Arabidopsis thaliana: one gene and its partner. The protein of the gene in region 1 interacts with the protein of each later gene in a pairwise test. Each region holds a gene or a part of one and is shown on either strand. Other genes may lie near its edges. The genes, in order: TUB3 and PLP3a.

What was found.
Region 2: the proteins of TUB3 (region 1) and PLP3a interact in a two-hybrid assay, tested with the Arabidopsis thaliana proteins (one study listed by BioGRID).

What each region holds. Positions count from the first base shown.
Region 1 is NC_003076.8:25,182,258-25,187,459, reverse strand, and holds TUB3 (tubulin beta chain 3), read right to left. Parts: upstream 3,203-5,202; 5' UTR 2,960-3,202; coding exon 2,566-2,959; intron 2,476-2,565; coding exon 2,206-2,475; intron 1,723-2,205; coding exon 1,034-1,722; 3' UTR 683-1,033; downstream 1-682. Other genes in the region: AT5G62710 (Leucine-rich repeat protein kinase family protein), read right to left, coding at 1-22; TUB2 (tubulin beta chain 2), read right to left, coding at 3,959-4,647, 5,149-5,202. UniProt on the Arabidopsis thaliana protein: Tubulin is the major constituent of microtubules, a cylinder consisting of laterally associated linear protofilaments composed of alpha- and beta-tubulin heterodimers.
Region 2 is NC_003074.8:18,938,110-18,942,297, forward strand, and holds PLP3a (thioredoxin domain PLP3A-like protein), read right to left. Parts: upstream 2,320-4,188; 5' UTR 2,204-2,319; exon of another isoform or gene 2,135-2,203; 5' UTR 2,118-2,134; coding exon 2,034-2,117; intron 1,898-2,033; coding exon 1,823-1,897; intron 1,749-1,822; coding exon 1,701-1,748; intron 1,616-1,700; coding exon 1,473-1,615; intron 1,387-1,472; coding exon 1,314-1,386; intron 1,223-1,313; coding exon 1,161-1,222; intron 1,075-1,160; coding exon 977-1,074; intron 892-976; coding exon 782-891; 3' UTR 588-781; downstream 1-587. Other genes in the region: ZAR1 (HOPZ-ACTIVATED RESISTANCE 1), read left to right, coding at 1-576; LTI30 (dehydrin family protein), read left to right, coding at 2,716-3,297; XERO1 (dehydrin xero 1), read left to right, coding at 3,925-4,107. UniProt on the Arabidopsis thaliana protein: Tubulin-binding protein involved in microtubule formation.

The DNA of each region.
Region 1 (5,202 bases):
AAACCCAATTCGAGATACCCATTTCACTGATTCCACCGATTCCAAAAGAGAAAGTTCTTAAGGTTCCAAAGACGAAAATATGAGATTTTTTCAACCCAAATAGAGTGACCTAATTCGAGAATGGAGAGAGGTTAGTAGTGATTGGGTATGACCGTATGAGTAAGAGGAGGAAGACTCATGATGAAAAATCTTTACTTTTGTTTTTCCTAAAAAGAATTCTTTAATTTATCATTTTTTTGGTTTTATTATTTTGTTTTTCCCTCTTCTTTTCGAGCTAAGTGAAAGGAGTGGTTTTTCAAAATCTGTACCCTTGGAGACTGGTGCAGAGGAGAGAGAGAGAGCGACCCGTTGCGAGGAGACATAATTCAAATATATCTGTGCCTATAAAAACACTCGCGACTATGGTTCTAAAATCTACTCGCTGTTATTTAAGTCACAAAATACACGTGTCTTTCACAGAAAGCGAGTAATTTAGAGATTGTACTTGAGACGCGAGTGAAAGTTACGAAACTGTGTCGTTTTTGTATTTACTTTGTCTGAGAGATCTGTAAAATAATGTGTAATCTGACAAAATTTACAAGAGTATTAACACTAATGTCGTCCCTATTTATTTCCAAAAGTAAAATACTTCGTAGCAACAATATTTATTACATCAAAAGTAAATTTCTTATCTGTTTTATCTCGAAGAGTGTAATTTAGTCACCACGAAAATGGGCCGAGCTCTTAAAAATAAATGAAGAAATCCAAAGCCCAAAGGTTAGTCAATCATAAGCCCAAAGGTTAGTCAATCATAAGCCCAAAGTCTTTAACGAGATTAGGAACAATACAGTCAATAATAGCTTAAACGAAGATTCAAACTAAAGACCGAACCAAATTTAAAAACAAAGTACATAAACATCATCCAGATAAGTCAAATACAAGCATAGAAATAAACCTGCAACTGGTAGTTGAGGTTCTCATTTTTTTTTTTAAGAAAAAAAGTAGCAAACGACTAAATTGATTTTTTCAAGCGGTTTTTATAACTAAATTACTCTCAGTACTCTTCTTCCTGTTGGTATTCACCTTCTTCCTCATCCTCGTAGTCACCTTCTTCATCAGCCGTTGCATCTTGGTATTGCTGGTACTCTGACACAAGATCGTTCATGTTGCTCTCTGCTTCTGTGAACTCCATCTCGTCCATTCCCTCACCTGTGTACCAATGCAAGAAAGCCTTCCTCCTGAACATAGCTGTGAACTGCTCACTCACTCGCCTGAACATCTCTTGGATCGATGTTGAGTTTCCAATGAAAGTGGAAGCCATCTTCAGACCAGTAGGTGGGATATCACAGACTGTTGATTTCACGTTGTTGGGGATCCACTCCACAAAGTAGGACGAGTTCTTGTTCTGAACATTCAGCATCTGCTCGTCAACTTCCTTTGTGCTCATCTTGCCACGGAACATGGCAGAGGCTGTGAGGTAGCGTCCGTGCCTTGGGTCTGCAGCACACATCATGTTCTTGGAGTCCCACATTTGCTGGGTGAGCTCAGGGACTGTGAGGGAGCGGTACTGCTGTGAACCTCTTGAGGTGAGAGGAGCAAAACCAACCATGAAGAAGTGAAGACGAGGGAATGGGATGAGATTCACAGCAAGCTTACGGAGGTCAGAGTTGAGTTGACCAGGGAACCTCAGACAGCAAGTCACACCAGACATAGTGGCAGATATCAAATGGTTCAAATCACCAACTGCACACAGAGAATGAACCAAGTATGTAAGCCATATAGACACATACAACAAACAACATGATGAGCATAGCAACATATCTTGCAGAAACAAGTATATTATAAAGAAGACAGTATACTTTCACAAATCGATAGTCATCAATGAATTCATATCCCATATGTAACAGCAAGCAACATATAAGATTAAACTAGAAAGTACTTGCAGCTTCACCGGAAAGTTTTGTTCCAATAAGATTAAAGAGCAGCTTAAGGATTTATAGTGATGAGCTCAACATTGATAAACCAATAGCACACAAGACAAGAGGATATAGACATGAACAAACCACTAGAAACAGTGACAAAACAGTAAGTTATATATAGAGAAAACTTGCAGATCTGAATTTGATACCAATTATTAACATAATCACCATCTAGACATAGCATTTTAAGCATAGAGCGACTAATCTAACATTTGTAAAAGAGCACAATTGGGTAACGAAATCTTACAGCTGGGGGTAGTGAGTTTGAGAGTCCTGAAGCAAATATCGTACAAGGCCTCGTTATCAAGAACCATGCACTCATCAGCATTCTCAACAAGCTGATGAACAGATAAAGTAGCGTTGTAAGGCTCCACCACAGTATCAGAAACCTTTGGTGAAGGGAACACCGAGAAGGTAAGCATCATGCGATCTGGGTACTCTTCACGGATCTTAGAGATCAACAATGTTCCCATACCAGATCCAGTTCCTCCTCCCAATGAGTGACAAACCTGGAACCCTACAGAAGCAAATCTCGCAGTTTAAAACTCCAGTAAAGCTCAATCAACCCTAATACAAACAGATCTAGAAGAAGAAGGAGAAGAATAACCTTGGAGGCAGTCACAGTTCTCAGCTTCCTTACGAACAACATCGAGAACGGAATCGATTAGTTCAGCTCCTTCAGTGTAGTGTCCCTTGGCCCAGTTGTTACCCGCACCGGATTGACCAAAGACGAAGTTATCAGGTCGAAAGGTCTGACCGTACGGTCCAGATCTGAGACTATCCATAGTCCCAGGCTCCAAATCCATGAGCACTGCACGAGGAACGAATCTACCGCAACTCGCTTCATTGTAGTAAACGTTGATGCGCTCAAGTTGCAGATCTGAGTCTCCGGTGTACCTTCCGGTTGGATCGATGCCGTGCTCGGCGCAAACCACTTCCCAGAACTTGGCTCCGATCTGGTTACCGCATTGACCACCCTGGATGTGAAGAATCTCACGCATCTTTGGTTGATTGAGTGAACGGAGAAGAGATTTACGGTTTTCTCTCGAGCCTCGGGAATCGAAATCTGGAGAGAAAAGAGAGCTTTAGGTTTTTTTTGTTGAAGAAATGAAAAAAGTGAGAGTGAGTGAGTTTTTATTATTGCTCTCTCTGTGTTTGTTTTTTGTTTTTTTCCCCCAATTATCTCTAATAAGAGGCGCCGATTTTGTTTTTCTCGAAATTCAAAATTTAAAAATGGTCCGTTTCTTTCTCTATGGTAACTGTTTAGTTTCCAAATTTTATTTTATTTTCCAATATTAAATTGAGTTTTAAAATATTATTTTGATATTATAATACAAATTGCAAAAAAAAGAATGTTCATTTTGTTTTTGTTTTTAGAGTTTCTTTTCTAATATTGTGCACATGTTTGTGGCAGGCTTTGGGCCCATTCATAAGGGTTGCAAAAAATGAAATAATGGAAGAGCACATGTTATTTTCATATTTTGCTTGTTAACAAAGGGAAGAGAACGTGTTTGAATATTGACAATTTCCACTTTATCCTAAAGTATTTATGTGAATTGGTAAAGAAAATAAATAGCTTAGAAACAATCAATCCTCAAAGCTAGGCATGTTGGGGAATTTGTATTTCAGAACAGTGATAAATTTGTTTTGGGGTCTAATATGGAGCTGCACTTGCCCTGAGGTCACAAATCCCGAACCTTAATCTATTTTCCAAACAGATCAAACCTAAAGTCCTTAAGTAGGTACTGAGGTAGTCAGGTAGCAGAAAGATGAGGATAGAAGACCAAAGATTGAAGACAGTACAACTGGAAAATATTAATAGAAACATCACAGGCAATAACAAGATTAAGAACAAAAGTACAGAAACATCAACCAGATATGTCAAATACAAGCAGAGAAAAAAACTACAACTGGTAGTTGAGGTGTTCCTTTTAAAAAAAAGAAAAGTAGCAAACGACTAAATTGTTTTTGTTTTTAAAGCAGTTATAACTAAATTATTCTCAGTACTCTTCCTCCTGTTGATATTCACCTTCTTCCTCATCCTCGTAGTCACCTTCTTCATCCGCAGTTGCATCTTGGTATTGCTGGTACTCTGACACAAGATCGTTCATGTTGCTCTCCGCTTCTGTGAATTCCATCTCGTCCATTCCCTCACCTGTGTACCAATGCAAGAAAGCCTTTCTCCTGAACATAGCTGTGAACTGCTCACTCACTCGCCTGAACATCTCTTGGATTGATGTTGAGTTTCCAATGAAAGTTGATGCCATCTTCAGACCAGTAGGTGGGATGTCACAGACTGTCGATTTCACGTTGTTGGGGATCCACTCCACAAAGTAGGACGAGTTCTTGTTCTGCACATTCAGCATCTGCTCGTCAACTTCCTTTGTGCTCATCTTGCCACGGAACATGGCAGAGGCTGTGAGGTAGCGTCCGTGCCTTGGGTCTGCAGCACACATCATGTTCTTGGAGTCCCACATTTGCTGGGTGAGCTCAGGGACTGTGAGGGAACGGTACTGCTGAGAACCTCTTGAGGTGAGAGGAGCAAAACCCACCATGAAGAAGTGAAGACGGGGGAATGGGATGAGATTCACAGCAAGCTTTCGGAGGTCAGAGTTGAGTTGACCAGGGAACCTCAGACAGCAAGTCACACCAGACATAGTAGCAGAAATCAAGTGGTTCAAATCACCAACTGCACACAGAAGAAAATCCAAGTATGTGTAAGCTTTAGACATATCCAAACAGTACGATGAGAAAAGAATCAAAGCAGACAGTAAACTCAACAAACTGATGATCATCAAGTATCAGATTTCTACTTGCAACTTAACCAGAAAGTATTGTTCCAATAAGAGTAGTTTAAGGACCTACTTCGGTGATGAGATCAAAATAGGTAAACAGAAGCAATATCACACAAAACAAGAGGCTAAAGATATGTACAAAACGACTGGAAACAGTAACAAAAGTATAAGTTCTGCACAGAGACTTGCAAATCAGAATTCTGATATAAAACAGTGACATAGTCAAAGAGCAAACCAATGGAAACAGTAACAATACTATAAGCTTTACATAGATGCTTGCAGATCTGAACTTGATACCAATTATTAACATAAACACCATGTAGACCAAGCATTTCAAGCATAGTTTAACTCATCTTAACATTGGTGGAGAGCATAATTGGGAAATGAAATCTTACAGCTGGGGGTAGTGAGTTTGAGAGTCCTGAAGCAAATATCGTACAAGGCCTCAT
Region 2 (4,188 bases), on another chromosome or scaffold:
GTTCTGTTGGGATTTAAGCCAGCCAGGTCCAACAATGGGTGCAAGCTCAGTGAAGTGAAAAATCTCACAAACCTTCGGAAACTTGGTCTTTCTCTGACTCGTGGCGATCAGATAGAAGAGGAGGAGCTTGATTCTTTGATAAACCTAAGCAAGCTGATGTCCATTTCGATCAACTGCTATGATAGCTACGGCGATGATCTCATAACCAAAATAGACGCCCTTACTCCTCCACACCAGCTCCATGAGCTTTCTCTACAATTCTATCCTGGAAAGTCGAGTCCATCGTGGTTGAGTCCTCACAAGCTTCCGATGTTGAGGTACATGTCAATATGTTCAGGTAATTTGGTGAAAATGCAGGAACCATTCTGGGGAAACGAGAATACTCACTGGAGAATTGAAGGTTTAATGTTAAGTTCATTGTCGGACCTAGACATGGACTGGGAAGTGCTGCAACAGTCAATGCCGTACCTGAGGACCGTGACCGCAAACTGGTGTCCAGAGCTAGAGTCTTTCGCGATTGAAGATGTTGGCTTTAGAGGCGGAGTGTGGATGAAAACACCATTGCACAGAACCTGATGAAACGTTTTAAGCAACTAGATCAATGTTTATTAAACAGTGACAATAAGTTGGTGTATTACATATACCTTGATACAATGTAATGTTGCTTTGACCGTTTGGATTTCATATCGCAATTTTCTTTTCTAATAATCATATAACAAACGAGCAAAAAGGGAAAACAGAGACTAGCAGCAATGGCAGATCTTTGATGTCAACTGCTTGATCAGTCAGAATCAGAGTCCAGATTCTCTGAAGACCTAACAGACCTCCGTATGCTCTCTTGATATTCGGCGTCTTCATCATCTTCCTCTTTCTTCTTCTTGCTGAGCATTCCTGTTAAAGATTTGCACTCTTTAAGCAAAAATTCTCTAACTGGGCCGTTATAATAAAAAAAAGGTGGGACCGAGGTTCTTCATACCCTTTTTAAGAAGAACGTTCTCTAGTTTATTCGTTGTGAAATCGTCCTTGGTTCCCAGATCCTGGAACCCAACTAGCCTATCCATCGCAACTCCCTTGCTAAGAATGGTAAAGAAACTCGTACTTTATGAGTATACACCTAACAACAAACCCTGTATGTAAGAAGGAATAGAAAGAGGCGAAACCTGAAAAGCACAACGCAAGGCAAAGTCTTTATTGCAAGCTTCGTGACAAAGAAAGGAGCATTCTGCATTTATTTCAGCCAAGCATTAGCTTCAGCAAAGGATTGTTGAAAAGCCATTTCCTCTTATAAAACTTTCATCAAATGGTTCACTAACCTCTGCGTCCACTTTAATGAACTTTGTGTCCACATGTCTAGGTGCAAGAGTTTTCAGATGCTTGTCCATAATCCTACAGTAATGCAGTAAATATGTTTGGTTATGAGCTCATATACATATCAGAAGACGAACAAAAAATAAGCTGATGAGAGATCTTACTTGCACCGGTAAAATTCCTTATGGTAGAAATGACATATCACTTTCTCACTCCTGGTGACTTCACCCAAGAAATCTCCTTCACTCACCTCTCGATATTCACCATGCCCTTGTCTTTTAAACGATTCTCTCTTCTCAACCTCTCTCTGTCAAGATAAAATCTTGAAGATTTTAGTTCATACCAAAAGCTGCATAACTATATAGGCCACAATACAATGCCAAAGTTATAACCTTTAGTGCTGCAATCCTATCTGCGTGCAATCTTTCTAGCTCTGGATCCTACAGAACATAGACAAATAAGTCTACCATAGAGACCTACGCTTAACAGTCACAACAAGCAACATTGCACTTACATCCATAAGTTCATCAAGATCAACCTCTTCATTAACAGGATTTGATCCTTGCGCCTTCTCATTTGCAAGAACTTCCTACAAAACCCATATAAAGAACTCATCAAAACCATACAAGTAAGTCCTCACAGGTAATCTACTCAGACAAAGAAACATCAAAAAAACTCATAAAGTCTATCACTATTTCAAAAACAAATTGAGAAACATTCTTTACCTTTTGATAATTTCTTGCAGCAGCCGCCATTACATTTCCAAATGCTAGATTCGAGAGAGTCGATTTGACTGCATCTGGATCCATCTTTTAACACCAAAAATCTGAAACAACAGCATGAAAAAAGCATTAGGATTCAGAGATAAATGAGAGCTAAAGCTTCAAAATCATACCTTTTTCAATTCCTTCCTGATGCGAAGAAGAAAAATAAAAAAACACAGCTTGAGAAATCGAAATCAAAGCTTTTTTCCTTTCTTTACTAACAATTTCAAAAAATCAAAAGATGAACAACAAAGGTGGAAGAAACATACCAAACGACATCGTTTTTTAGTTTAGTAAAAGATATGCATTATTGGGCCTTTCATATCTAAAGGCCCACAGGCCCATATAAGTTAAAATTACGTCGGTCGCTAACCACTACTACACCGACGTCTTACTTGCCATGTGTGTGTGACTCTTAATCAATTACGAATTGAATATATTACTTTTACGATGTCGGCCAACACGTATTGAGTAAAATATCTATGTGATGATGAATTCCTATCCAAAATGAAATTTGCATCTCTATAAAAGTATCATTCAAGAGATCATTAATCTTCATCGATCAAAGTCTTGAATATTTCATCTATATATACCTAAGAAAGAAAAGAGTTAAAGAAGTATATTTTCGATTCAAAGAAGAAAAATGAATTCTCACCAGAATCAAACCGGAGTGCAAAAGAAGGGAATAACGGAGAAAATCATGGAGAAGCTACCAGGTCATCATGGACCTACTAACACTGGTGTTGTTCACCACGAGAAGAAAGGGATGACGGAGAAAGTTATGGAGCAGCTGCCAGGTCATCATGGTGCTACTGGTACCGGTGGTGTTCACCACGAGAAGAAAGGAATGACGGAAAAAGTTATGGAGCAGCTGCCAGGTCATCATGGATCACACCAAACTGGAACCAACACAACTTATGGTACTACTAACACTGGTGGTGTTCACCACGAGAAAAAAAGTGTGACCGAAAAAGTTATGGAGAAACTACCAGGTCATCATGGGTCACATCAAACTGGGACTAACACGGCTTATGGTACTAACACTAATGTCGTTCACCATGAGAAAAAAGGTATAGCAGAAAAGATTAAAGAGCAACTGCCAGGTCATCATGGAACTCACAAAACTGGAACCACCACAAGTTATGGTAATACTGGCGTTGTTCACCATGAAAATAAAAGTACGATGGATAAGATTAAAGAGAAGCTTCCCGGTGGTCATCACTAGATTGATTAACAACTTGTTTAAGCTTATTTTAAGTATTTGTGTGGTGTAATAATATGATGATGTGGCTTTCTTTCATTGAGTCGCTAAATAATATATGTAAGTGATGGATCTTTGAATTAATATAAAATATCTACTTCTGGTTTCGTTTATTTATCTTTCTATCGCTTCAACTATTCCATGTTATTAAAATACTTGTGAGTTGTGACACATACAACCACGTATAATTCACATGTAATTATTTGGTAATTCAATTCTTTACAAGTTTATATGTTCTTTTGCATACAAGTTATCAGGGAAACGACCGCAGTTGTTTGGCAATGTATATTACTCAGGTTTTCAATTCAGGCCCATACGGCCCAAATAAGTTGTTTTTACGGATATCGAGTTAAAAGAGGTGTGTCGATTATAACGGACATGTGTCACACTAACCACAAAACCAACGTCTTACGTAATCGCCACGTGTGTCACTTCAACGCAATTTGATAATAATCATAATACTATATGTGATTATGATCCCTATCCAAAGTTGCGGTTCTATAAAAATACCATTCAAGAGCGTATACATCTTTATCCATCAGTGTCTTAATTTTGTCTATAGCTAAAAAAAGGTTCAATTGTAAAAGGAATATGGAGTCTTACCAAAACCAGTCCGGAGCGCAGCAGACTCACCAACAGCTTGACCAATTTGGAAATCCATTTCCAGCCACCACCGGAGCCTATGGAACTGCCGGTGGAGCTCCAGCCGTGGCTGAAGGTGGTGGTTTAAGTGGCATGCTTCACCGTTCTGGGAGTAGCTCTAGCTCTAGCTCGGTATGCTTCTGTTTTACGCAATTGCTTTTGCAATATTTAGTGTACTCTTTCTATATCACCAAATACAAGAAGTTTCATTTA